Tamandua tetradactyla: one gene and its partners. The protein of the gene in region 1 interacts with the protein of each later gene in a pairwise test. Links are inferred from orthologs where the notes say so. Each region holds a gene or a part of one and is shown on either strand. Other genes may lie near its edges.

The links.
Region 2: the proteins of HMBOX1 (region 1) and ASB7 interact in binary tests that used the Homo sapiens proteins (3 or more experiments, as listed by UniProt). The two-hybrid records come from large-scale screens. The link is inferred for Tamandua tetradactyla from reciprocal best matches to the Homo sapiens genes HMBOX1 and ASB7.
Region 3: the proteins of HMBOX1 (region 1) and WT1 interact in binary tests that used the Homo sapiens proteins (3 or more experiments, as listed by UniProt). The link is inferred for Tamandua tetradactyla from reciprocal best matches to the Homo sapiens genes HMBOX1 and WT1.
Region 4: the proteins of HMBOX1 (region 1) and C12H8orf33 interact in binary tests that used the Homo sapiens proteins (3 or more experiments, as listed by UniProt). The two-hybrid records come from large-scale screens. The link is inferred for Tamandua tetradactyla from reciprocal best matches to the Homo sapiens genes HMBOX1 and C8orf33.

The regions. Positions count from the first base shown.
Region 1 is NC_135329.1:30,331,418-30,338,347, reverse strand, and holds the start of HMBOX1 (homeobox-containing protein 1), read right to left. Parts: upstream 3,011-6,930; 5' UTR 2,719-3,010; intron 2,373-2,718; exon of another isoform or gene 1,636-2,372; intron 1-1,635. Other genes in the region: INTS9 (integrator complex subunit 9), read left to right, coding at 3,534-3,542. UniProt on the Homo sapiens protein: Binds directly to 5'-TTAGGG-3' repeats in telomeric DNA. Associates with the telomerase complex at sites of active telomere processing and positively regulates telomere elongation.
Region 2 is NC_135338.1:84,036,661-84,044,254, reverse strand, and holds the start of ASB7 (ankyrin repeat and SOCS box protein 7), read left to right. Parts: upstream 1-4,590; 5' UTR 4,591-4,792; intron 4,793-5,017; exon of another isoform or gene 5,018-5,599; intron 5,600-5,638; exon of another isoform or gene 5,639-5,774; intron 5,775-7,315; exon of another isoform or gene 7,316-7,594. Other genes in the region: LINS1 (protein Lines homolog 1), read right to left, coding at 1,184-1,774, 2,281-2,422, 2,914-3,003, 3,127-3,525. UniProt on the Homo sapiens protein: Probable substrate-recognition component of a SCF-like ECS (Elongin-Cullin-SOCS-box protein) E3 ubiquitin-protein ligase complex which mediates the ubiquitination and subsequent proteasomal degradation of target proteins.
Region 3 is NC_135334.1:108,436,762-108,444,267, forward strand, and holds the start of WT1 (Wilms tumor protein), read right to left. Parts: upstream 3,002-7,506; 5' UTR 2,744-3,001; coding exon 2,305-2,743; intron 1-2,304. UniProt on the Homo sapiens protein: Transcription factor that plays an important role in cellular development and cell survival. Recognizes and binds to the DNA sequence 5'-GCG(T/G)GGGCG-3'. Regulates the expression of numerous target genes, including EPO.
Region 4 is NC_135338.1:102,033,979-102,040,882, reverse strand, and holds C12H8orf33 (UPF0488 protein C8orf33 homolog), read right to left. Parts: upstream 2,719-6,904; 5' UTR 2,707-2,718; coding exon of another isoform or gene 2,701-2,706; 5' UTR 2,643-2,700; coding exon 2,292-2,642; intron 2,057-2,291; coding exon 1,972-2,056; intron 1,820-1,971; coding exon 1,673-1,819; intron 1,110-1,672; coding exon 970-1,109; 3' UTR 516-969; downstream 1-515.

The DNA of each region.
Region 1 (6,930 bases):
ACTTGCCATAATATAGACAACATTTTTAGAAATGATCACATGAAAATAAATGTGGCTTTCACAGTTACAGGATGAAATTTTAAGCTGGCCAGGCACCAATGCCCTGATTTTCCACTTTTTTTCGTAAACCATATGACTTTCACATGCTGAGAATGCTTTATGCTTTAACCTGCAGTAAAGGCTTTACATCATTTTAATGCCCTGGGCTTAAAATGCAACAGAATCCCCTCCCCCACAACAAATGTACGAAATATATGTGGTTTACATGCAAAGATTTCATCCAGACTAATAATCAAAGTAAGTTTAACGAAAGCTTTTCCCAGCAAATAACTTTGAATTTCCATAGAAGAAAACAAAACAACAACAAAAAAATTTTTGAGGGTAGGGCAGGTAGAAGAAAACACATTTCCCAACTCCAACAAACATTTTAGGTCTGTTTCTTAAAATAACTGTTAAACATTTTAAAACTCTATGGCTAGGATAATATCGTTCAGCAAAAACCACACTATTACGTAGTTACATAGGATTTTTCCCCAGTTTTTGCAATGTAATGTTTCAGTACATTCAGTACATTCAATCTTCAATGTAAGACATAATGTTAAAATAAATAATTCTGGAAATCCTAGTTTATAACAAACTAATGACTCGGCTTTGAACCAACATATTCTACATTCTAAATTTGAGATTTAGAAAACATCAATTTTTTTAAATTCAGGCCAGTCTAAATATACATGCTACCTTGCACTTCAGTCAGTTTATGTGAATGACCAACAGCAGAAATTTCAATAAAAAGTTATGAAATATAACATAAAATCACATACTAAATGTGATTTTCAGTTTTTGTACACTCTAAAGTCCCTTACTGATAGGTAGTGGTTTCAAGAATTGATAAGTTTCAGGGGAAATAGGTAAATACATTAAATTCTCAACAGTCTAAATAGAAATTATGGCAATTATTTTAGTTACTTAAAAATCCATTACACTAAAAACACCACTAAGAAGGGTTATTTAAAAACTTACATTTCAGATTGAAGAAAGTAAAAAACAAATTATACTAAATTCTCCTGGTATAATGTTATTAAATATTAAAGACTGAGAAACAAGTGATGTTGCGATCCTCTTTCCTTTATAATTCAGATTGCAAATAGAAGAAAATTAGAATTCAAATTTTCATAATTTAACTAGATTTGACAACTTGTGCGATTTAAAAATAAGTTTAATGCAAAGCACTAAAATCCTAAATGATATTCACTTGTGGCATAAATGCAAAATAAAAATAAATGCAGATCCTTTTCATTTAATGATAAATATGATAATAAACCCACAGAAAAGTACAACCATATTAGTGCAAACTAAATAAAAAGGCACAGTAGGCATTATGTCTATCGGAAAGAAAAATGATGTACCATGCCAAGAAAAAAAGGAAAGAAAAACGGCTGGTAGAAGGATGGAAGGATGGAAGGATGAAGGAAGCAAAGAAGATCTCTACCAGCAAGATTCCAGAGAAATGAACTAGTCATCTAATGATACATGAGGTTTTTAAAGCTTCAGAGTAAATAAAGACAGCAACCACTTTATACTATCCAACTTTACATAGTATATATCTTTAATACCAACTGCCTTCTCTTCACTCACCCAATGCTTCCTCACTCTTCCATACCAGCTTCCAGGCAAATGCCAGGCAGAACAGGGTGGGGTAAAAGAAAAATACAAGCAGCGCCTTTCAGCTGCCCCCCAGATAATTTCCGACAGTTTTTCCTAGCACGAAAATAACTCGTCTTATCTCAAGATACGCAACAGTCATCCTGTGTCTTTAGTAGACAATGAGAACACATACAGAATTCAGCACTTCCGACTCCCACCCCACACACCAAATTCTTAAGTAATTGTTAATCTATTTAACAAGAAGACTGTGAGATACCTCTACCTAATGTTCCAGAGTGAGGGTGGGTGGAGGACTCCTTTCAAAGTAGCCCCAATAGTGTAACCAGAACACGGTTCCGGAATAAAATATTAAGAACACTTTTGGTTTGCCACCTATCTACCGACTTAAGGATGCAAAAATCCATCTCCAAACCACATCATCTCTACAGTTCTCCTACCCTGAGTTTGGGGCGGAGATTTGTCCAGAAGAGCGGATGAAGGCAGGGAGGAGTAATGTGAGTGAGTAATGGGACACAACGAGTTGCTACCCCGCACCATGTCGCCAGCCCAAACGCCCAGGATCAGGACCTCACGCACGCTTCTCAGCCCAGGCCCAGGAAAAAGCTATGTCTCTAGCTATTTAACTTCTTATCTATAGACATTTACTCAATACAAACATATCATACAAGTACACGTCACACAGTTTAAAACAGTTATGTACACACCAAATAAATCAACGTACCTCAAAATCACCTTAGTTACCCAAACTCCAAACTGCAGACCCTACCTCCAGGATTCAAACCTTCCGCCCAGTTTAGGAAACAAGGAGAAAGAGTTGGGGAGCAGCCAACGCCTTTCACTTACAGCCCCCCACAAAGTGCCCCACCCCATACCCTGCGTCTGGGTCACACACTCTGAAGCCCCTGATTCTTCCCTCTTCTCAATCGGGCCGCTTAGGAGACCCTTCCCAGCCCACACACTTTCTCCCCAAAACCCCTTTAAAAAAAAAAAGTGAAGAGTAAGAAGTAAGGGAAAAGACTTGAGGAAGTCCGGCTTCAAAACCTCTCGACTCACCTCAGAATCCTTGCTGAGTTCTCTTCGCCCGGCACAGCCCCCTCCCCAACGTCCCAGTACGAAGGTCTGAGGTAAGGAGGAGGGGAAAGCAGGAGGGGGAGGGGTGTCTTCCGCGTGGGGCGCCAGTTGGAAGGGGACTGGGGAGGGGTTGAGACTAGCGCAGGAAGAGGAGAAGGGGGAGGGGAGGCCCCTATCTCCCAGTCTACCCCTGAAAACCACCCTTGTCTCAATCACATCAGACTGACTGTCTTTGTCTGGCTGACAACCGCCATATTGATATCAACAGCCCCGCTCCCACCTGCTGCCGCCAGGCGATCCTGGGAGTTGTAGTTCCTGCCTCCCTTGAGCAAAAGCGCGGGACCCGTCAACTAGAGACCCTAGAGAACTACAGCTCCCAGCAAGCCGCGCGCCCATCCGCCTTCCCACAGGGAGGAGGGAAAAGGGGTCTCAGTCGCAGGGAGACTACACGTCCCAGAATACCATGGACCCCAAACCCATATGGGGGACATGATATCATGCTGGGGTGTAGAAAGAGAAAGAGAGAACGAGAAGATGAAGTGGCAACGCGGATGAATTTGAGCTAAGGGAAGGAGGAGTTTAGAGAGGAAAGGGAGGAAAAGGAAAGATGACCACAATTCCCATGATGCATCTAGGGAAGACTACAGTTCCCATGACTCCCTGGGAGAGGGAAGCGTAGAAAGAAAGACTGCATGTTCCGAGATCCCCTTTGCGGCTCGGTGTCGAGGATTGAACCGGAAAACGCTTTCTGGGTGTGAGGAGTCGAGTGACGGGTATCTGACAACCTAAAGTCCGATATGAAACTGGTGAGTCTCCGCTCCTAGGTCAGGTGGCAAAGCAGATGTCATATCATTTTTGGACTTCGTCGTTTCCATCTTGGGAAGAGATCAGTTGGGGAGAAGGAGTGGCTTTGAGGAAGCTAGAAAGTGGGGTGAACTAAGGAAAGCTGCTTTTTTGTTGTTGAGGAAGCTTGAATTCCCCTCCCCCCTCTCTCTCTTTAGAACTCTCTGGAGAGCTTATTCGCTCATTAACTGGGCCCTTTGGTCAGATAAAAGGTTGACTGTCACGCATTTATCACCTGTGAACTAGGATTGGGCTTGATTTAACTTCCACGTGAGTGTTATAATAAGCACACTGTTGGTATTCATCTGTCACCACTTGTACTTTTTTAGCGCGTCTCCCTGCCCTTGTTGAGAAGAAATTACTAGGCAGAACGTGGTCACTTATTAAATTTCCTGACATAGACTTCGAACTGCCCTTGGAATTCAGAGAAGGACGAGATTAGCGTGTGATCTTGGAGGATTTGAATCTTAAACTCCGCATAGAATTTGAATGGACAAAGAGGAAGTGGTCTAGGTCTGTAGGGACTGCCTGAGCCAAGGCTAGGGAATATGCCAGTATACGAGAATCATCAGAAACTCAAACACTTGACTTACATAAAAGTTTCTCAGACCTTTATTTTGAGCCATTTTACTCTTAATTGTGCATACAGATCTAACAGATTTGTTTATTCCATTCCTATTGAACTAGTAATAGTATAATTAGAGGGAAAGTAGGAAAACAGCTGTGAAATGTTTCTCAACTGCTTAAATCCATGTTCCAGCACCTAAGTTAATGTCAAGCTTTACTTCCTGTAACTTTTTTTACAGAAACAAAAGTTTATTTTCTTTTTCATTAATATAATTATTTGTATATGTGCTTTTCCAAACTACTTCTATCCCCTTCCACCCATTTGATAATCACTATGTTACATGATACGCTATGAAAATATCAGCTATTTGCAGGAACGTCAGAGAAAATATTTAAAAATTCAAATCCAAAACCATCTCCTCTTCAAGTTGTTTATGTAAGGGGAAGGATGCACGTCAGTAAACCTTGAGAATATCAGCTTGCTTCTGAGTCAGTGTGCAGAATTTAAGAATGCAGAATTGAAAGACATAGCCCTTGGTCCAAAGAAGTCTGCATTCTAATAAAGATAGAAAAGCAAGCCAAAATTAAAATTCACTGTGTTAATAGTAAAAATAGAGGAATACTCAAGGTTTGGGGAATTAAAGGGACAAGAATGGTTAACTGGAGATGTCTGGGACAGCTTCCTGAAAAGGTTATTGGTTCTACTCCCCAAATGAATTGTTTTTTCAATAGTTCCATTTCTCTTCAATCCCACTATTACTACCTTTGTACACGCTTTTCTCCCTTGACACCTAGAATTCAACAAGACCCTCTTAATAATCTCCCTGCATTCATTTTTAACCCTTTCGACTCCATTATCTTCTCCAAATCCCAGAAATTGTTTTAAAATGCAGAGTTCCATAAAACCCCTCAGTAGCTTCTTTTGCTCTTAAGGTGAAATCTTATAAATCTAACTTAATTTAGTTGGTCCTGCAGAATATGGCCCTTCCTGCCTCTCCAGGCTTATTCTTGGCCCTCTTCTGTCTCACTCTCTCTGTTCCAATTATATTGTACAACTTCCAGTTCCTTGAGATCATCCTGTACTCTTTTTCTTATTGAACTTTAAATGTGTTCTATTGCCTGCAACGCTTTTTTTGCCTGGCTAATTTCTTTGTGCATTTCAGGTCTCTGTTTTAAAAAAGCGCTTCTTCAGGCTTCCTTGAATTAAATACTCTTTGTTATATATGTCCATGGCATACTTCCTGCGTGTACCACTTATAATTATTGGTGTTATGTCTGTCCTCTCTCATGTAGACTCTTTGTATTCCCATGGCCTGATAATATAGTGTAACCCCCCTAAGTAGGAGTAGTTGAATAAATAATTTCTGAAGGATTATTGAGGTCGATGAAGAAGGCTGAGAAAAGGTTAAGGGTGCAGGTAAAAGATTAAAGAAAGTAATAACCATTGGAGTTATTATTAAAAGTAATAATAATTGCTACTGTTTTAAAACAATTACTGTTTGCCAGGCAGTGTGCTAGGAAATTGCTATATAGCATCCCATTTAATCCTTTGATCTAGGTATTAGTACTACCATTTTCCTGATAAAAATGTAAGTCTCAGGGAGCTGAGGTAAGTGGTTCAGAATTACGGATATAAATGTTAGAACCAAGATCTGATCCCACGTTTCCCTGACTCCAGAGTGTTGCTTTTTAAAGGTGAGGGCTCTAGCGCTTTACACAGTACTTGGCCAGTGCTATATCTTTTAAAGAAATTTTATTCAAGGCCATTTTTTTTTTTTAATTCTAACTTCATATCACTCTCTTGGTGGTTTTTTTTACGCACATACAAAAACAATGGATGTCATTATAATATAATCCTTGGGTAACTCCTTTTATAAAAAGATACCAACTCAGAGGATTTTAATTACTCCCTATATTTATAATGTTTTATTATTATATTTGTAATGTATATAATATTGGCATTTTCATTAACCAGAATCATTTTAGAAAGAAGAAAGTTAGAAATGTATTCTCTAAATTACCATATTTTAGAGCATGTTCTAGTATTCATATAGATTGAGCCTGATTTGGTACATGTTTATAGCGAGTTCAGCTAAGGATAAAAACTACAATTCACCAGAGTCCGGAACAAAAGATCAGTATTTCTTTTGTTTCATATTTGAGTAATGATTAAATTATTATGTACAGAGTGTATGTTTATGCTATATAATGCAATATATGTAAACTGTCTGTTTTTCTAAATATCAAAATTATTTTGTTTTAATTATAAAATGTTTTCAGCCTGAATTAAAGACGTCTTCACTTCAAACTCATGAAACTTTGGTACTTTGGGAGTGTTAGGAATTGAGTTTAAGTATTAAATGGCTTTAGCTTGAACCCCCTTTCCATACGAGTCCTAGAATTTGTTTCATTAGTCATTAGTTTACTAAATATTTAGGGGTCTATATTTTTTTAATAAAACTCTATTAAGATATAAATCACATACCATATAATTCATCTGTGAAAAGTAAACAATTCAGTGGTTTTTAGTATGTCACAGAATTATACAACCATCACGACAATCAATTTTAGAACACTTCCATCGTCCTCAAAAGTTAGTTATCACTAACTTCAATTATCACTCCCCTATCCCCCTATCCTCCTTGGCCCTAGGTAACTACCAGTCTACTTACTATCTCCATAGATTTGCCTGGATATTTCATATAAATGGAATCATACCATATGTGGTCTTTTGTGACTGGCTTCTTTCACTTAGCATAATGTTTTCAGGGTTCCTCCATGTGG
Region 2 (7,594 bases), on another chromosome or scaffold:
GTCCTGTGAATTAGGAATTATCTCTATATTGCATAGTAGGAAACATTATGCAAGTCAGAGAAAACTGACTTGCCCAAGAGCATAAAGTAAAAAAAAGACAGCCACACTCTCTATTTGCTACAGATGCCAAATAACTAATTATCTCTGAGAAATAAAAGTATCACCTGTTATGTAAATTCTTGCTAAAAGCATATAAATAAAGAGTAGCAGCAACAGAAATCATTCCATTGGATATTAGGAACGTCTGTTGTAGAGGTAATAATGCAACCAAACATAAATAAGTTTGTCTTAAAACAATGGAAAAAGATTTTTTTCTGTTTGTTTAAAGCATTAAAAGAAAGCCCCAGGGTTTGCAGAATCTCAAGAAAGCTTGAGATTCTGCAAAAGTTTCATACACTACAGTTACTTTCCACAAACCTACAACCTAGCTTCCTAGGCCAGAGAAGTCCTGAAACCCAGAGAGGCCAGCCTCTTCAGAACAGCAACTAGTTCCATCACCCTATCCCATAATATTGACAGCTCTGTCCAACATGAAAAAAGTTTGAATGAGCATAGCCCAAATGCCCTTAACGATTAGAATATAACTCATACAAACTCTGAAATCTGTACTATAACTAATTGTTGTGGTGTGCTTTGAAACTTATTGCTTTTTTTGTACATATATTTCACAATTAAAAAAATGTTTAAATATAAAAAGAAAGCACTACTCTTAAGGTATGGGCACAAAAAGCAAAAAGGTTTTGGGCAGTTTTCATTGTCATGCAAATCTCTGATTTACATGCCACATGCCACCTAGTGTTGTAAATTATAACTGCACAGAATTATAACTCATAGTTATTATAACTCAAAAATAGCTAAAGGATACCCAGAGCAATTCAAAAATATGAATATGATTTGCCTGGCATCACTTTTTTTTTTTTTTTTTGGCATCACTTACTTTAGAAATGACTCAACAGCAATTTCTTTCTTCTTTATTTTTTTTTTAACCTACCTCATTCAGAAATGTAGTTTAGCCCAGAAAAAGTAGATGTATTTATTAAGGTAATTCCAGTTTATTTTTTTTTTAAAGAAAATATAATGAATTACAGCTAGGATAACACATAGTTTAAATAAATCAATGGAATTTATACTACTCCTGAGATTTAATAATTATGAATCATTTTACTTAAGTTTGAACAATTACCTTTCATGTCATTTGCTGAAGTACAATTTTGAAACTTGATTTCTAAGGATTTAATTAAAACTAAGCTCACTGCTCTAAGGATCACTTGATCTGGACCAGAGATACTTTCACATCCAGGTTGAACTTCATTGCCTCCAAAGAAGGAAGGTTTTCCATAAACAGACAATGTCCTCAACAACCCCAAATTCACAGCTTGCAAAATGGCATTAGCTAAAGCCAACATGTCCACATCTAAATGAAGATCTGGTGGTACGAAGGAAAGGGCAGATCCAGGAAAGAGGTCTTCACCCACTTTACAGAGAAGGCACTTTTTAATGAAGAGGATGAACTTCTTCTTGATGAAAGCTTGAACAGGCCAGGTAATAACATCCAGCACACAGGAAGGTTTCAAAAATAAAATCCTCTGGCAAGTGAAATGTGACTTCAGGTAGATTCTGGAGGCTATAAGAAGTTCAAGCAACTCCAGGAAACTCAACAAGCTGTTTATTATTTTAGAAGTATCTTGGAAGGTTTCAAAATGTTGAGAAAATAAGGAGTTGTAAAATACTTCAAAAATAGTGTCAAAAGGAGCCAGGAACTGCTTTAGAATTTCTGGAATTATAAACAAGGAAAACAAAGTCTTCTTAAAACACAGTCAGTATTACACTTTAATTTTTATAACTATTATCACTTTACAAGATGAAAAAGTAGATTTGGATTGTTTACCTCCAACATGAACAAATAAGGATACAAAAAGTAACTGCTAATAATCACCATTAACAATTTCTACAAACATAAATAAATCAAACTATGCAAGGGATAAATATATATATATATATGTATATATAAAATCTATACACACATATGTAGTAATGAAAAGTTTTAATACTTTTCTTGATAACTTTATTTTATTTAGTTTTATTATTTTTTAGTATTGGTTTGCTATGTCATTTTCTTTTAAAAAGGTATCTTCAATTAACTTTATTCAATTAACAAATAAGAGGAGAGATTCTGCCAAGAAAGAACAGATGTTGTAAAATAAATATTCTTCTTTATAATATAATGTTCTTCGGGAGCAAGACTGTGGCAGTCGTTATGAGATAACAAATAATTCCTACCTGTTTTTTGTGAACATGAATCTTTAAATATTTCTTTTATTACGAGTGTAAGGGTCCAGAGACAGGATGTTATCTTATTACTCTCAGAGTACTCAGAAAGATTTTTTTGACAAAAAGCAATCCAAGAATTACTTAATGTTATCTACAAATGAGAAAATAAAAACATTTGCATTAATTCATTTAGAAGAGAAAAATGTGATGCTGCATTTGTTAATACTGTTTCTCGTTACACTGAGGACCATTCTTAGAATTTATTTATATTAAATCTGTGAAAATTATTTTGGTCTCAAGCAGGAGATCTAAACACTTATTTTTGCAGGGGTGGGGAAGAGCTACCCACTCCTTTGAGAATCTAAACAAAGTCATGGACTATTTGACCAAAAGACATATACTGCTTCCCTGAAACCCACCCATTGGGTTAAGAATCTGATTTATAATGATTTACAATATATTTAAGACTCTAATCCTTGATATCATTGTATTGTTCCATTTTTCCACTTTTGTGGATTTACACATGTATTATGTCAGCAAAAATTCTATTAATACATATTTGAAATATAAGATCAAATGCCAAAAAGCAATTTCAAAGAAACTATAAGAAAAATAATAACCTAACGTTAATACTTATCTTACCTTCTCTCTCAGTTGGAAATAGAGAAGCAATGCAAGACACTTTGCAGCCATGTGGGATAGTAATTTATCTGAATTCTGGAACATAGAGATCTGTAGGATTGCAAATATTTAACTGCTATTGGTGACTGCTTTTTAGAAATTTTATTTTAAAACTTTTATTTAAAAAATCCAGATCTCAAAATAAACAAAAAGCAAAGGAAGTAAATGGCTTACTAATTTAGAATCCACTTCAGATGATTTTAAAAGACATTTAATGATGTCACTGTATTTCTCCTTTGCGTGGAAGTCAGTTTTGCAAGACAATATTCTGGATATCATCACTTTGATCACTGTCAACTGAAGCAGTGTTACTTCTCGGGCATTGCCCATCTGGGAGGGTCTCTTCAAATGCTCTGGTTCCATACAAGTGGTACCCAAATGGGCAAAGTGTGGCTGGTTCTTGTCCTGGCCCCCATGGATGTCTGGCCATTCTTGGGAGGTAACTGTAGAGAAATCTTGATCTGAAAATGTGGGGTTGAGATAGAAGATGTACTCATGGCTGTCTTTTTCAAGTGTGGCTTCGAGTAGCACCTTTTTGTATAACTGTTCTAAAACTTCACTGAAAGCTTTCATTTTGACTCCCAATATGTATCTTTTATAAGAAGGTTGACAACTCCAAATTGTAAGTATTATGGATCTTGGAAATGAGATGACTCTCTAAGATATTTCTTCAATAAAACCTAAAATAGGAAAAATACTTTAAAAATATTCATTACAAACAAAAGGCAACTGTTTCTACTTAATTATTAAGTTCCTTGAATTAAAAGTAATGCTGATTGTTTAATTTATTAAAGGGAAAACTGATAATAAGAACTTACTTTCCATACAGAATGAAGAACATAAAATCACTTTTCATTTTATCATAACAGAAACATTAGCATTCCTCTTGAGTTCATCAAACTTGGCCCTATTAATATCTTAGGGCAGATAATTCTTTAGGGTGGGAACTGTCCTGTATATCACAGGTTGCTTAGCAGCCTCCTGGACTCTATCCACCACACGCAGGTAGCACTCATGCCCTCTCTGTAAGAATGGTTAATAGAGACAGTCAGCTGACTGGGGATAAAGGGATGGGGGTACCTATAGCGTCCTTCGGGAACATTCCCCTGGATAGTCCATAGGATAGTGTTGGCAGTCAGGACCAACAATAGCTCCACTGGTGACATTCCACCAACAATTGAGGAAGAAGTTGGAACAAGACAGTGCAGGAAAGGGCTGCAGGACAGTTCAAACCGGTCTTACAGGCAGGGAAGGAGAGAGCTTCTGACGTAAGCTTAGAACTGGCGCCAAATAGGCAGAAACAAGTTTAAATAAGTAACGGCCAGTGTCACTGAAATGTAAAGTGTAATCAAAAGCGGGAACCTTTGGCGGGAAATTTGAATTAGTTAGACTGTCTGGATAGGCTGTAACCTCTGGAGTATCCAACCAGAGGAGAAACAGGGAAGGGACCCGCATGCTAGGCTTAGGTAATAAATACCACCGCTTTGGTCGCTGGGGGCATCAGCCACCATTTTTCGGCTGCGTGCGCCTTCTTGCAAGATCGTTAAAAAATTCTTTTCTTCTCTACAATCCGGTAAGCGTTTATTCTCTTTCAGGAATGGCTTACTTTGTAGCAATTTTGGGTGCTCATCTAGGATCTGACTTCGGAGGAGGCCCCCGCGGAGGACGCAGGGAAGGCAGGCCCTGCTGATTGAGTGGTCCCAGACTCTGCCATTAGGGGCCCACTTCTGACTGCCAGAAGGACCCGAGGCCAGACGCTTGGATCCACCGACTGTGAACGAGAAAACGGGAAGGGAAAATCTACCTCACAGTGACCAGGCAACTCTGTGCATGGAGCAAGGTAAGAAAAAGACTCGTGGGTATTGCCTTTGTGGTCGGGAAGAATTCTGACGAGCCTGGCACTGAGTGAGCAAGTGCCGAGTCCCAATCCGCAGTTCCCTTCTCCTATGAGGGAGAGGGTCAGAGCTGGATGAAGCAAAATGGTGCTGAGAGAAAGAAAACCAGGCAAGACTCAGAATGGTTAATAGAGACAGTCAGCTGACTGGGGAAAAAGGGATGGGGGTACCTATAGCGTCCTTCGGGAACATTCCCCTGGATAGTCCATAGGGAGAATGTTGGAACATTGGATGGATAGTGTTGGCAGTCAGGGCCAACAACAGCTCCACTGGTGACATTCCATCAACAATTGAGGGAGAAGTTGGAACAATTTGAAAAAAATAGGCGGAATTTTCCATTTCCGGGGGCTGCAGAGGAAAAAAAGGGTGAAAGAACATAGACCTGTTAAGTCCCTATACCTTCTGAGAAAAATACCTATTGGACCAGGGGAAATCGGTTATATACCTTGTCCAAACTTATGTCTATTCTAAATATCCTCTTTATGGGGGAAGAAAGGGGAATGGTGAGGAGGACAGCTATGAAACAGTGGGAGAGGCAGCACCCACCTAGGCAAGGGGTAATGGCAGCAGAGCAAAAGTTCTCCAGTGTAGATACTAATTGGAATAATACTAATCTGGAAGACAGGGCACAAATGAGGGATTTTAGAGACTGCATATACAAGGGATAAAATTGGCTATATCCAATTCTCATAAAATAAATAAAAAATAAATAAATAAAGCTTTTGAGGTGGCTCAAGAAAAAGACAGCTTAAGTTATCTTAAAAGGGACTTGAAGAAGTACCCAGACTTACTGATAGCCTTGTAATTTTCTAGTTTTTGTCTCTTTGGTTCATTAGAACTATTTCAGTGGTATGTGACGACTTGATCCAGAGACTGGGTGCTTCTATAATAATCCCATCACCAAATGCTGGAGTTGCAGACTTCCTCCTTGTAAGAGTGAAGAAAATGCGTGAATAAAATTATCTTGATATGGGAGCATTTTTCCTGTAGTTCAGTCTTGACGAAAGTGTCAGTGCAGGAATTGAACTTCTAGAAGGGTTATGGTGTCTCCTAACAGGACCTACCAACTACTTCTGAGCAATAATGTTGGATTTATTTGAGGAGCAAAAAAGATGCCTGCTTTCTGACCTGGCAAGTAGCTGAGCCAAGGAAGGGTTGGATGATTAGAAGAGACATAAGATTCTTGGTTAAACTGAAGATTTCATTTGGGAACCAAAAATTTTGTTATCTCTTGGATAGTGAGCCACATATTTTATGCATCTTTTCCAGCAAAAGCTTGTTGGATATTATGTTTTTGAGGAATGAACTTAGACAAAACCCATTCTGCTTACCTACAAACGTTGAGGGACCAGGTGAGGAAATGTTCAGGGATGGACTCTGATAGTCCTGTGGCCCAAAGATGTAAAGGGGTCTTGGCCTGACAGTCAGAAAAAGATCCAGAAAATAGATGGGTGGATGGATAAGCCACTAGGAGAGTTATTGAGAGAGTCTCAGAAAATGTTTGTGAGTAGGGAAGAGGAAAGCAGGAGCAACAAGCTAAAGTCATGTTAAGCATGGTTGACCACATGGTCAAGAAGGGATTAGAGATAAAGCAGGCAGAAGCAAGATAGAGAAACTGTCTGGCCCAAAGGGGATAAAGGAATGAGGAGGGCACAAGACTCGGCAGAGTGTTATCACTGTGGGAAACCTGGTCATTTCAAAAGGGAATGCCTGAGTTTAAAGAAAGAAGGATGAGTAATACCCCTGATGAATTTTGGGGATTAGGAAGGTCAGAGCCTCCTCGTCTCAAGAACCACCAGGAGTCTTTGGTAAATCTGAAGGTGGGTCCATATCAGGGAGAAATTACACTTTTGGTGGACACTGGGGCAGCCTGATATTCTGTGACCCATATCCACAGGGGATAGAATTCTCTGGTTGCTCCCTCACAATTTCGGGGGTAAAAGGGGAAGGACTTAAAAGTTCCCATTTTCAAACCTACTAATATCTGTTGAGAAGGATCCTATACCCCCCTGCTGTACAGTCCAAAAGCTGGGAATAACTTGTTGGGAAGGGATCTGATAGTACCCATGGGACTTGCGGATGGGCATGATCCAAGACTACTGCACAGAAAGCCAATGAGTGTTGTGGGATTTGTGTGACAAGAACCACTGCCAGTAAGGACTGAAAGGGACAGAAAAAGGACAATGTGAAAGTAAAATAACTTCAGAGGTAGAACCATGGAAGCTAAAGTCTAAAGTCAAAAAACCTCCAGCAAAAACAGACCCACCCAAGTACTTGGAGAGGGTAAGTTTGCCCAGAGGCAGAAGATGGGCCTTCCACCTCATGGTGGAGGAATGGTGCCAGGCCTTGGAGAGGCACCAAGTCCTTGGGCATGTGCTCTAGAGATGGCAGAAGGCCCAGGTGCGGCCCGATGTTTGGAGAGGGTGGAGCCAAGATGGGTGTAGTCTTCCCAGTGTTCCCTAGGGTTGTGTTGGAGAGGCGGGCCACTGCATAGGCCCTTGGAAAGGGTGGGACTGCCAGTTTCTAAGGCCCCAAAATAAATGACTCTCAGATTTTGAAATCAAATGGAGTTTGCCATGCAGGTTTTCTAAACTGCTTGGGTCCAATGACCCCTGTATTCCTTCAGATTTCTCCCTATGGAAATGAGGATATGTATCCTATGACTGTCCCTCCTTTGTATGTTGGCAGCAAATAATTTGTTGAATCTTACAGGTCCAGAGCCAAAGGAAAATTCTTCCTTAAGACAG
Region 3 (7,506 bases), on another chromosome or scaffold:
GGTTTGGCCTGGCCATATATTCCTGGGGGAGCCGAAGGAACCCCAGAAATCAAAAGAATAAACCCGGAATTCAGGGACCTCGAGAGCCTGTCCTGGTTGCCCATGTTGGGGCTGCAGCGGCTTCTTACATCCCACACCCCAGCTCAACTGAGTGAACTCCAAGGGCTGGGCATATTCAACCCATTAATGTTACTATTGTGGGAGAAAGCCAAGACCAGAGGCCACAGCTCGCCTCTCAACTACTGCCCGTGTTTGGGGTAGTAGGTTCCCCTTTGGCCTTTCCCTGGGGTAGGAGTTCGTCCACACCTCCTTTCTGGCTCTCTTGCCCCCAACTTTCTTTTTCTCTGGGGCAACTTGGTCTGTTTACTGAAGAAGAATTGGCATTTTTCCCTCAGTGTAGTCCTGGCTGGCTGCAACACCTACAGCCTGGCATAGGTGTCCGGACCCCGAGCACCAGACATGTCTGCCCTGCAGAACGTTGGACTCAAAGCCAAGCCACCAAGCCCAGGTTCCATAAGCCCCTGCCCAATCTAGATGGACTCAAATCAAAGATAATGATGCAGTAGATTTTGGGCCCCAGGAACATAAATGGCTTCTTAGGCCTCTCTAACCAGCAGGCAACCACATACTGGCCAGTTGCACTATTTCTGGCCCAGTCATGTTTAGGTGGGCTGGCGAGTTCAGTATTTAGAACCCAGAACCCTTGATAAGTTGCATTTCCGCTTCTCCAATGCAGAATTTCAGGCTGGACCGACCTCCAGGTCGCCCATCTCGGCCCTCCTCTTACAGCTCCGCAAACTGGGACCTGGAGAAATCGCCAAACGAAACACCAGCCTGCCAATTAGAAGTGACACGATCCGAAAACAGGAGCCTCCAGACCATGCAGCATTCTGCGATCAATGGGCACTAAGCTGTTCCAATTCCCTTAAGTACAAAACACTTTATTTCTGAAGGCCCAAGAGTTAAGAACTCCTTGGCTAGGCCCCAGGTTCTTGCCGGGTGGAAAAGGGGAGGATGGTTTCGGTTTCGCCTGGGCCTCGGTCGGCCAGGTGCACAGAGCCCTTCTTCCGAGCCCGGGCGCCCCAGCACCTCTTGCAAACCATACATACTCCGTCCCAACCAGCCCAGGCGTTCCAGAAAAATCTTAGTTCCTAGGCCCGTGAGAAGTTTTGCTTCAGGAAAAGTTCCCCATCACTGTGTTAGCAAAACATTTCCTAAGACAGCAAGTCAAACCGAATTGGCTTAAAAGATCTCAACGAAATTCAATTAAAATAAATTTAGGGACCAAACTATAGGGGCTTGAGATTCCGGAACCGCTTGGTTCCGCTCTGGCCGCCAGAAAGGAGAGAAGTGCAGGCGCCAGAGTGATAGGAGAAAACAATGGTTCATGTCTCTCGTTGTACTTTTCCTGAACACCGCAAATAAACCTGTCCTTGTCTACTCCCAGACCCTGCAAAATTCTTTCCCCTGAGCCCCGCGTGTAAGCCAGGAGGGGATTTCCAAGCCGCGCTGAAAGGCAGGCCCATGTTCAGGCTTCATACCACTGCTTCGGGTAGAACCCGGCCCCCTATATAGCACAGAATCGGATAAACTGTTTTTTTCCCATCCCAGGAGACTGCCCCCACGCGCGCCTGGGCAGGAATTCAGGAGAGCCCCAGTTCTACACTTCCATATCCTGGAACCGTAAGTGGACTCGGACACAGTTTCAGGAAAATCACTATTTAGTTGCTAGCCCGTTCATTTACTTACCCTCCCCCCCCAACTTGGTACTTGTGTTCCTACTGTGTGCAATATCATATTGCGCTGTAAAGTCTGGACATCCCAGCGTAGCGTAGGCAGCTCATGCTGTAGGAGACCCACTCCGAAACCCCCGTCTGGACGTCTACGATGCCCAGTGCCTAGTGACAATTTGGTGGTTCCCTGGACAACAAAATCCTCTTCCCGAGGCAGAGCTTGAGACTGCAACGGTTCCCCCTTCCCCACTCCCGAAGGAACTCGAAATCCGGGAGTCTCATGGAGCTTTAGGGGCGAGGACCTCCCGGCTCATGCGAACAGTCCGATTCCCGCCCTTCCCGGAGGTGGAAGGCGTCGGGAGGTGGAAAGCGTCGGAAGCCGATGCCGGCGTATGGTCCCTTCTCAGGGCATCGCCTCGTCTTCCCGGCCGCTGCTTCCTAGACCTTGGCCGGACAGCCGAGTAAAAGCTAAGATCAGGGAGAGAAGAGGCACGAGAAAGAAGAGCCTGCACTCCGTGAGAGCCCCGGCGCCACCGCCCCGCGTGTAGGGGGCGCTCCCCGGGCTACTTACCCTGGTTGCGAATAGCGGGCTGGCTCTCGAGGCAGCTGGGCAGGTAGGGCGCGTTGGGGAACATCCTGCCCTGCCCGGACGACGCCTGGCTGGGCGGAGGAGGACCGAAGGGTCCGTAGCGACAGGCTCCGGCTGTGCCGGTGAATTGGCCGGAGAAATGGACGGTGAAGGCGCTCAAGCACTGCTCCTCGTGCGGCTCCGCGCCGCCCCAGGTCGGCTCCTGTTTGATGAAGGAGTGAGGCGGCGGCGGCGGCGGCGGAGGAGCCGGCGGCGGCGCGGGACCGCCCAGCGAACCGTAAGCCGAGGCGCCCGGGGGCGCGAAGTCCAGCACCGGCGCCCACTGCGCGGCGCCGCTCACAGGCAGGGCGCAGCCGCCGCCGGTACCCAGCGAAGGGACCGCTGGCAGCAACGCATTCAGGTCCCGCACGTCGGAGCCCATTTGCTGCGGCTCAGTCCCGGGCGCCCCGCGGCTCCTCCGGTCCTGCCCACGCTCTGTGCTCGACGCGGCCGCGGTGAACTTGGCCCAGATGCCGCAGCCCGAGCCGCGTGTCCCCGGCTGCTCCAGCTGCTGAAGGCACCCGGATCCCGAGCGCGTGCCGGGATGCGGGCTCCGGGGCACACGTGGAAGCCGGCTCCCGCGGCGGGAGGAAGTCCAGGATCGCGGAGAGGAGCAGCGGGGCCTGGCCGCTGGGACTGGCGTCCCGGCTCTGAAAGGTGGGTGGGAGGGAGGGCGGGAAGGGAAAAGGGGGGAGCAGACAGTCGGGTTGCGGAGAGCCCCCGGGTGTGGGTGCTGCCTTGAACTCCTTACCCCAGCTGCCTGGCTGCCCCCAGCTTCCCAAAGCTCAAATAAGAGGGGCCGGCGGCGGCGGAGGAGGAGCCAGGAGTCTCCGCCGCTCCATTCACACCGCAGCCCCAGCCGGGCTAGGCAGCGCGCGCCGCTCCTTGGGGGGGGGGGGGCGCCCTCGCAGCGGGGGTTGGAGGCGGGCCTGAGGGGCCGTCTCTCTCAGAGGCACCCTCCTCTCCTTCCACCCGCCACACGCACTCAGCTAGCTTGTGGGGTGCATCCCCCCCGCCCCCTCTTTAAGATTTCGCGAGTGTGGATGCCTCGAGGCACTGGTGAGTCCCTCCAGGTGAGAGTTCGTGTCCACTTTGCACTCAAGTGCGAAGGGGTGGGGATGGGGGTGTTAACCTGAGAGGGCGGGCTGGAGGGAGGGGCAGGTAGCCTCGGCTAGGGCGGGAACTTGGGTTAAGCACAGAAAACTTGCCTGGACTTATAAATCGCAGATGCCCTTTCTCTGCGCCTAGGAATCCGGTTCCTGCTTCCAGAGCCGACAGGCTAGAGTGGTGGCCATAATTTGGGGGTCATGGGGTGCGGAGGTTGGGGGGGTTGGTATAGGCCCTTTGTGGATTCCGGAGGCCCGGGATTCGAGACGAACGTGCCCCAGATTGGTGGCCTCGAGAAGTTGCATCTGTTGTAATAAGCCAGGCATGGTAGTTGGTAGTTGTCTGGTAACTGGCTACCTGATGAGGTTTGTACCTAGAGGAAGGGGGTTCCTACCTATCTAAAAATCCGTGTCAGCCACGTTAATCGCCCTTCCTAGTGCAGAGTATCTGATTCTTCCACGGTGAAGCTCGGGAGAAACAGTGGCTAGTTTGGGGGGCGAGGGGGTAAGAATACCCTTGGGGAAAGGCCCGGAGCCTGCCGGAGCATCCTAGCACCCTGTCGGAGGTGGAGATGGAGAGAGAGGGGCTCCTGGCGCCGCTCGTGCCAAGCTCTGCCTTGCTCCCCGGCGGGGGTACCACCCTCGGCGCGCAGCGGTCCGCGGGGAAGCGCAGCCCAGAAAGGCGGCTGGAGGAGCCGGGTAGGGAGCGCGTCCTTCGGCCCACGCCGCGAGGCAGTGTCGGCTGGGAGCTCCCCGAGTGGACCCCAGCCAAATCCTCTCCTCTCTCCGCCTGGCTCCGCGCCCCACAGGATCTATCGAGGATAAGGCGGAAGGCCCATAGATGAGGAGAAGCGCCGGGACTCCCGAGTGATGTGCATTTCAGGGGCGCGGGAAACGCCCAGCGGCGCCTGGTGGCCCAAAGGGCTCAAACTGGGACGGCAAGGCGCCCAGGGCGGGAGGCGGCGGGTTGCCCTGGGTCCTGGGCACCGGGCGAGCCGGGGATGAGGCCCGCAGCTTTCCAGCCAGGGTCCCGTGAAGCATCAAGGTAGATGCAGTTTCACGAAGACACTACGCGTTGATAAAGCTTTACTTACTCTCCATTTCGTAAGCTTTGGTTTTAATTTGCACTCGCTAAACGCAGTCGCTGTGAGTTCCGGCTGCGGGCACCCAGCGTGTGCGGGTTTAGGACGTCCGCGCTGTCCGCAATTCCCAACTTTTGGGATCGCCTGTCAGGAGACCCTGAGGGCAAAGATTGGGAGCATGCGCTGCCCGCTGCTCCCTCAGCCACCTTCGCGGTCGTGGACACCTCCCTGCGCTACTTACGGTGCTTGACTTTGCCACATCTCCACGCAGAAACATTATTATTATTTAAAGAAATGGAAGAGGCTCTTGATTCAGGTTTCTTTTTCTTTCCCCTGCACTCTATGGAGAGAGTCGACTGCTCTCCTGCACGCCCCATCCCTGAACCTGTTGCAGAGCTCTAGGGCTGGGCAGAGGGCAAGTGCGTTTGGTCTTTGTGATGGAAAAAGACCCCCGGAGAGAACTTGTCTCAGGCAAGTAGCCCTAGAGCGCCCCAGCCCCCACCTCTCTTCTATTTCTACTTGGAACTCGTTTTTCTTAACTAGGACTCAGGCGCTACGAAGCAAAGGGGTTCCTTTCCGAAAAGCCAGAGATTTCCATTTCTAAACGAAAAGAATGAAATTCTTTTTTTAGCAGTCTTTTGCAAGTTTTGTCTTGGGGGAGGATATTTGGAGGGACTGGTTGAAATGTGAGTCTTTGTGGTTTGGGATCCCACGAAGGACAAATGCGCTTACATCTCTGCTTTTAAGTTAAAAAATAAAAAAAAAAAAGGTTTGCCCGGGGAAGCGGGTGCGGAGGTGGGAGGAAAGGGCAGACCGACAAATTTGAGACTCGCTCACTGCTCCACCACTGGTTTCCTGAAATGCCCTGTGGTGGGTTAGCATAGTGGTGCGATTCCCATTACAACCCCCTGGTGCCCCCTCTCCGAGTCTTGCGGTGCAGAGCGGTGAGAGGAGTTCCCTCCAACTGACCCGGCAGAGAGGTAAGTGCTGCAAATCAGACACCCCGCCGTTGAGGGCCCCGGGACCTGTACCGAGACCTCTGAGGCATCCCCCCCCAACACACACATATACACACACATTGCGCTCTGGCACGGTGTCCTGGATGGCACCCGCAGACCCCCGTGTCTCAAGGGCCCCATACCCCCTTCCCCTCCTCTCCTCCCTCTCCTGGCTACGTACTCTGCGGGAGCCGAATGGTTACCCAGGCCGACGCACCGGCCACCCTGTTCTCGGCACCCCGAGTTGGGCCAAGAGGCCCAGAGCCTCAGCAGGAGGAGGCCGCATCCTCGGCGGGCCCCGGCCGGCAGGCGCTCTCCTGCTCCTCCTGCAGTTCGAGGCCGGCCCAAGGTCTCAGGGAAATGAAGGCTGCAGAGAGCTGGTGGCTCCCCTCTTTCACCCCCCTTCCCACATCGTCAGCGCCGAGACTCATGGCCAAAGGAATACCAGTCTAAATCACCAAAAGTCAGACCTAGAGATTCAGCTCCCTTTCTACAGAGAAAGAAACGAGGCCCCGGCAGGGGAGGAAAGGCGAACTGCGGGGCGCAGTGGTTACGAACAAGGAATTGGGGGCCAGAAAATGAAATCTCGGCTCCGCCACTTTAACAAGGGCTGTGAACCTACTTTAACAAGGGCTGTGAACCTAGACGAGTTCCTTAGCCTTTCAGAGACTCGGTTTCCTTATGGGTCAGACGAGCTCATGGGACCCTAGTGAGGATTAGATAGGAGTTGAGGATTAGATAAGAGAATGGTGTTGGCCTGAGAGCTGAAAAAACTTTGCAATTTTTGTTAGCATATAATACAAGGATACATGGCAGTTTATGGAAGAACCGAGCTGAAACTCGGGTCTCCCTCGAGGCTTTGCCACGACCCCTTTGCCTCTCTAGGGTGGGGGTAAAGAAAGGAGTGAGGAGGAAAGGAAAGATGCTGGAAACCTGTGCGGCTTTGGTACAAGAGTAAAGCGCATCCCCGCCTGGAAGGTGCATGTAATTATCGCAAGATCAAAAAATCGCGGCTGGGGGGAAGCGGCACTGAGGTCTCTCGACCCCCGGGACCGGTTTTTTCAACCGGCACCGACAGCGGAGCGCGGAGTTGGGCCGCAGGGGCCCCAGGGACCAGCGCGCACGCCGGGGCCGCGCTCCAGCGTCACCCTGAGGCCACAGACATCTGAATAAACACGCTGAAGCGCTGCGATCTGTCAAGGGCCAGGGCTCTGGGCCGCAGAGGCCCTTGATCAGGAGTGGCCCGACCTCTCGACAGCCCGCCTCCCGGGAGGAACAGGCGCTCCGCTAGGTCCTCGCCCGAGGACCTGCGCCCGGATCCCAACGCCCAGAACAAACGGCCGGACATCTGCGGCTCCTTCCCCACCAATTTCAGCTCTTAGAATCTGCCCACCTCGGGCCACCCAGCAGGCGCTTAGGATGGTTACCAGCCACGAGCTTCACTGTAGAATTCCCAGTTTTTTGTTTTCTCTTTCTTTAAATTAAAAATTTAATAAAAAGAGCAAGGTAGGGATCTTTTGTCCTAGCCCACTCCCGTCTTCCTCAGCTTGTTTGACAATGAACTCGATCTTTTATATATACATATATTTATATATATGACCAACCCCTCCATCTGCGGTTGGAGTTCTGTTCTCTGACTCGTTTTGGGGTCCCGGGAACCGCCGTGCACTGGAGGGAACGCCGCGCAAATTCCCCCTTTTCTCCCCCAGCGCGCCGTGCCTGGAGCCGCCCGGGTTACCGGTCGGTTCTGATGCCAACGCAAGCCGGATCCCCGAGCTCCCGGAGTCCTCAGTGAAAGGATTCCGCAGCGCTGCCTCTCTAATTATACCGTAAATCTTTTTAAATTCTGGAACTAATTATATAGAGGATATGTCTCAATTTGTTCTGCATTAATGCCACAGTGGGGCTGGAGGCCCGGCCGTGGCCAGAGTAGATACTTAGGCCCATGAAATTGATGAA
Region 4 (6,904 bases), on another chromosome or scaffold:
TAGATGTAGAGGAGGATGTAAGGCATGGGGCAGGGCATAAAAGTGTGGTGATTGGTTGCAACACAGGTAGGCACAGTTTGAGGGTGCTACACTGGTGCCTATGAGCATGGAATGTGGGGCATGGGGTTGTGGAGGTGCAATGCAGGGGCTGTAGGGGTGGGGTGCAGTTCAAGTAGGCTTTGGGACACAAGAGCAGGGTGTAGTGTGGGAAACACAGAGTGGAGCATGGTAGGAGCTGGATGGGAGGGACTGTGAGGATGCATGTGGTCTGGTGTATAGGCCCTGGAGTGGCCTACCTTCACAGAGGTGGCCCACTGACACCTAACCAGTTTTTGACTGGAACTACCAGGGGTGAGAAACTCTTTGTCCATAATAACAAAGCCACCGAGGATGATGCTCACTCAGAAAAAGAAACAAGACATACTTTCAAGAACTGTGAGCCTAGACCCAGCAGTGTCAGATGCCCTGTTTGTACCTCTCTGACACAAATGGTTAGTACTCTTTACTCATTAACCTTTTTTTTCAATAAAAAATAGAGATTTATTACAAAGATGTGGCATAATGACATAAAGCAATCCATTGACAGGCATCCTTTCAAAAGTAAGCACCAGTGTTCAATTATGTTATTGATACCTACTTAATCTAATCAAATACTAAGTAGAATATTATTTTAATAACATACTAAACACTTCATTAAATTGTAGAAGTTTTTCTAAATGCACTTCTGTCTTCTGGCAGGATGGATATTTCATAAGAAAACCTACAAGTGGCGTCTGTGCTTGTCTGTCAGTGATGCCAATATACTGGGTCTTACTTCTGCCCAACAACCATAACATCAGATTCACCAACCAGCTAAGAATGGGCCAAGCCCACATCAACCCAACAGAACATTCCTGGAAGGGTTCCGTACTACAACAACCTCCCATACCACTCTAAGGAGAGGCTTTGTTCGAGGATGAGGGGCATGAGCTAAAAGAAATTGAACCTAAACTCTTCATCAGGAGTATCCAGGAAGGCCTTGGCTGCCCCCACTCGGCGGGGCCTGCAGACCCTTTGGCTCTTCTTTCTGGTGGCCTCATCTACAGGCTTTACGTGTGCCAAGTGGGCTGCTGTAGACGGAAGGAAAAAGAGTTAGAACTGAAAAATAACAGCTAACACTGTGTTCTTATAATTCCCATAAGATTTTAATATCCTTAGAAAACTTCATATAAATCAACTGACTGATTTCTGGAAATCATAAGGTAGGTATTATCAGCACTTCCAACTTTAGAGTCAAGCAACTAAGGTACAGAGAGATTAAGTAACTTGCCAAAGGTATGACAGCTACTAAGCAGAAGGCCCAGAAACTGAACTCAGGGTGTGTAGCTGTGTCATTGAACGAAATGGTCAACAGAGAAAGCCAAGGTAAAAATAGGTAAGACTTTCCCCTACCTTAGGAGCAGGATCCGGCTGTTTCCTCACCCCCCAGGATCTTTTGCCCTGGTCCAAGCCCTAGTTCTGTGTTCCTGAGTGGTCCAGGCTTTTCTCTCTGCCTTTTCCCCTGGGTTTCCCTAAGCTCACTTCCTTCCCTGCACCAACCCTGTGCTCTGAGCTTCTTCTGTTTCACCACCAGTCTTCCCCTCCACACTTGTGAACTAGGCCAGCCTGAATCAATCACTTTCCAGCCCCTCACCGGCCCTGAGAGCACGCAGGGCCTCCTTCCGTTCTGCTTCCATCTGAGCCCTGTAGTCTCCAAACAAGGAGTGCATGAGCTGCCTCTTCCGGGGCAAGGGGGTTCTTTCACTGCACAGTGTCCGGATTGCCCCAGTAGCCTGCTTCTCTGTGGATAAAAAACACCAGTGACTTCCTCTCCTCTCATCTCATCTCCCATCACCCCACCACAAAGGCACCAACTCCATCCCCAGGCAGCACCTGCAGGCAACACTGCTGTCCCCGCCCGCTTCCCCCCAACTCAACAGGAGGGCTCCTCACTCTGTTTTAGGCTGGGTCTCTGGGTCCTGAGACCGAGCTCCAGCTGCTCCACACACCAGGCCAATTCCTGGGCCAGCTGCTCAGCCTGTGATGATTTTGGGAGTCGGGGGATGGAGAGGAGTGGCTGGGAAAAGGTACTAGGATCCCGGAGCTCAGGCCCTGGTTCTATCCCGAAAAGAACCCTAAAACCCCAGCCATCCACCCCTTCCCTACCCTAAGTCCGTAGACCGCAGGCCACAAGACCTCGACCCCACCTGCCGTGCCTCGACCCCAGGATGCACCCGGGGATTCCACCCTTCTCGCCTGGAACCGGCTCTTGCCTGGGCCTCAGCGCTTAGTGGGGGCTCCTCTGGGACGCGCTTTTCTGAGGCCTTCTCGCCGCCGTCGGCCACAGAGGCGCCGTTCCGGCGTTTTTTCTTCCTCTTCTTCGAAGCCGCGCCTCCGCCGTCGCCTACAGGGTGCACCCCGGAGTCAGTGTCCTTAAAGGTGGGATGCCGCGAGCACAGACGGGCTGGATGGGGCGTTACAGAGGAAGGACTCCGGGCACTGGGAACCGGGCCAGGGAGCCGGGAACCGTGGGGCGCGCAGGGACCTAGGGCTGGGGCCGCCGACGTCGTCTCCTGAGCAGCGCGGACAGGGGCCTGGAGAAAGGGAGGCAGCGCGGAGGTCATCGGAGGCCGCAGACAACCCGCAACCCCGTCACTCCCGCGGCCTCTCCACGGCGCTCACCGCCATGCGGGCTGTCGCCGCCGGAATTCACGTAATGCGTAGGGTCCGGGGCCGAATTCCCTCCTCCGGAAACGCAGCTGCGATGGGCTGTTCCGCAGGGCACAAAGAAGTGAGGTGGGCGGGGCCGCGCGGGGTCCGGGTAGAGAAAACAAGAGGGTCTTAGGTTCCTGTCAGGGAAAAGGGCGAAGAGTGCTACTTCCTGGGATTCTGGGATGAGAAGCGCAGGGTAAAGGGTCAGGAGCCATGAGGCAGGCTCGAGCCCTAGGAGGACGGGGGAGGAGAGGCAGTGCGCGCTGGCCTCCTGCGCCTCGGGCTTTGCAGATTTTCTGTCTCAGCAGCCGGTTGTCAGATTGGCTCTGCACCCCCTTCACCCCGAAGCCAGGCGACCGCGGGGACCTTCCTCAGACACGGCGCCGGCAGGGACACCCCAGCAGGGTCTCTGCTGCGGGTAAAGGGGTCGGTCTGAGGCCCCCAGGGGCGCCCAGCTTTACCAGCCCACAGAGCCGGGCTCGTTGCTGGACACTGCTCTTAGGAGCTGCCATCGGTGCTTCTCAGCCAACGCGGGACTGGATTCTCACTAGGGGCTAAACCACTCCCGTGGGCCTGAGGCATGGTCTGGAGAGTCTGAAAAACGACGCAATTCCCTTGCACTTTCTCGTCTGCCCCGCAAATGGCATTATTCAACAATTTAGTTGTCCAGGGAACCCAGGCTGTATCTGAACAGGCTGAGCTCAAACTGTGGGTGCCTCACGTGCTGGCCAATATCTGGCTCAATGTGGGGCTGTATTCCCCACTTAATTTGTGGCGGAGAACTTCCCCGTCTGTCCAGTTTTCAGCCATCTCCCAGGCAAGGATCAGGCTGTCCGCAGCTGTTTCCCTCGGGTTCGGGAACAGCTTTCGCACATAGGGCTCGAAACAGACTGTCCACATTTTCTCAGACTCTTTGGCCCTCACTGACCTGGACTGAAATGCCCTCCCCTGTCCCCCAGGTGTCCAAATGGTGGGAGTATCTCTCGCTGCTGTAAGAGAATATTCTGTGACCCCAGTGGGAGGGATCCCATATGCTGTCTCTGTGTCCTTCCCGTTGTGTGTGTGAGACTGAGTACCGGGAGGGGAGAGCGCCAGCCTGTCTGAGACATAAGTTTCCTACCTGATTTTCTCTATCTTCAATTTGGCATTTGTGGGGTCCTTCTCCAGTAGAGAAGTAGTTATCTTCCTCTAGAGTTCTGAGAAATTCAGAGTTGTCCTTTAATCTCAGGAGAGAGACATTTTCAGTAGCTGTTTATGTTGTGATGTTGATGACATCACTCCTCCTCCCACACTATCCTATTTTAAGACTTCCTCTAAGGTTATGATGTTATGATGTAGTAACACGTAAACAAATAGATTAATGCCCATATACATACAGTACTATTATAAAGCCATTACTATGTGGTTATTTGATACTTGACAATGAAATAGAGTCTAGTCAATGGAAAAAGAATAATACTTTTAAAAGAAGTGATGTAGGGGGTGCACGGGTGGTTCAGTGGTAGAATGCTCGCCTTTCATGCGGGAGACCTGGGTTCGATTCCTGGACCATGAACCCCCTCCCCCCCAAAAAGTGATGTGGGAACATTTGGACATCCATGTGCAAAAAAGGAACTTCTTCCTAAACCAAGCGTTGGACACCAAAAATTAACTCAAACATCCATTGTAAATTATGCAGTTTTATTAAAATCATAGAATAAATTCTTCATAAATAAGGATATTCCAAGTCCTCTTAGAATTGACAGCAAAGTTAAAATCATGAAGGGGGAAAATACATTGGACTTCATTAAAACTTTCTTTAAATTCTCAGAATGAATGAAAAGGCAAAGTATAGATTGGGAGAAATTACTTTTAAAGCATCTATTTGTATCCAGACTTGTAGCCATACATACAAAGAAAAACACTCCAGAGAAACAAGATAAACAAAACAAGTGAAATGCACAGACACTTCATCAAGATGATAAAGGATTGGGAATATGCATAAGAAAAGATGTTCAGCAGCAGTAGCCATTAGGAAAATGCAAATTTAAACTAACTTAAGAAACCATGGTTAAAATAAAATATTACAACGATACCAAAATATGCCAAGGAATTATGACTAAACTTCTGATGACATGGAGATGGCAGGCCTTACTACCACCCAGCAGAAAAAGAAAATAAATATTAGTAATTAGAAATTTACAAAGGCACCAATAGAAAAATCAGAACTGGAGAAGATTTTAAATAAGAGGGTGTTGTTCAAACACTTAAGTGTAAGTATCAACATATAGAATTTAAGAATATTTCATTTTTACAAAACCATGTTCCTTTATATGCAATATTAATGAAAATAAGAATTGATTATGTATGCAGTGACTGGCACTGCTATTTGGATTCCTAAGAGTTGTATTAAATAAAAAAATGCTTCCAGGCCTTCCTAGTAGGAGGGTTTGTGGGTGGAGGTAGCCACTTAACTCAACTTTTATTTTGGAGCTGATTTCTGGAAAAATTCTCACAAAGAGCTTAACTGGTAGGACACAGCTCACACTAATGCTCTGCCTTCCATCTTTCCAAGTGTCTGGGCCATGGATGTAATGACCAGAGCTGCTCATTCCCTTACATGGGGAATCTGAGTCTCTCACTCAAGATACTGAAAAAAAAGCTATAGAAGCCTGGATGCCTAGTGATGTTTGGAGCTGGCATTTCAACTTTGCAATTCTTTAGTGGGGCAGAAGAGTGAAGCCTATTTTGCATAAGCAACATTTTGGGGGACGTTCTTTATTCAAGAGACTCATGATTCCAAACTGATAAACTAAACCGCCATATTACAGCATTGATGGAGAAAAGATTTGAAAACCAACAGGAGGAAACATGGAGACATTTCCTCGTACTAGATAACGGAGCACGCATCTCTATTGTCCACGACCTGAAGCAGGATGGTAATATGCAAAGCAGTAGAGATTAAAACCTGCTTTAGTTTGCTATAGCTGCGAGAATGCGATAGAATAGAAATGGATTGGCTTTTATAAAGAGGATTTATTTACCTACAAATTTACAGGAAGGAAAGGCAGCTGTCTTTCATCTGATTCCTCAATCACCTGGTGATGTCTGCTGACCTTCTCTCCCAGTTTCTGAATTCAAACAAGTTTCCCTGGGACATTTCCTCTCTGTCTACAAATATCTGGGTCTATTTTGGCTATGAGCACTGAGCTTGGATTTGATGAACTGTCCTGAGTTGCTTCTCTCTCTTCTGACTTCTCCTTTTAAACCTCCAGCTAATTATATTAAACATAACTCATATCAATAGGCACTCCCCTTAACCTAGACAACTGCAGATGTAATCAGCCATAAATGAAATTCATGTGCTAATGATTTAGTTCCACAGCAACATAACAAGTGAGCAACATTACCTGGCCAACTTGACAGCTCAAACGAACTATTACAAAACCTATTTCATATGGAAAAATCAAAACCTGTTTCAAAAAATTCAAGAAAAAGAAACCAAAGACTCTTAATGTGCTAAAAGGGTTCATAAGTATTCTAAATTATCATAGAGGAAAACAAAGACCACAAAAAACACAGAAAGCCCAAACAGAGAAACAACCATGGTTGAATGTGAATAGACTTTCCCCAGAGCAACACAGTGCATGATTGAGAGTTTCTGTTATTTCCACATAGATAATTAAATTGATGGGAAATGAATGCTTGGGCATAGGCTCTGAGACAGATTTTTCCCAGGATCATAGTTTTATGTGCATATTTTATTTTAGCCAGCATTGTATTAAAATTTATGAATTATATAATAACTGATGCCAAAAAGCACAGTAATGTCACCTGAACTGAATTTATTAATGCTAAAATAATATTTTATCTATACACATATACTTACAAATTTATACATATTCTTTCAAATGTTTCATAGAGTACACACACTTTTTTCAAGAGTAATTATCATATATATCTATGAATATATATAATTTCTAATGTTCTAATAAACAATACATCTTTTTCTCAAAGCACCAAAGACTTATTTAAAAGAAATATTTTTTCAAATATTAAACATTTGGAAGTTTCTTGTAGAAATTCTGACATGTTTTCCTTGAAAGATGGGAGAAGGATCAAAGAAGAAAGATGAGTCATAACAGAGAAGATAGGATTTAATAAATGAGTATGACTGCAGAATCATTATATTGGT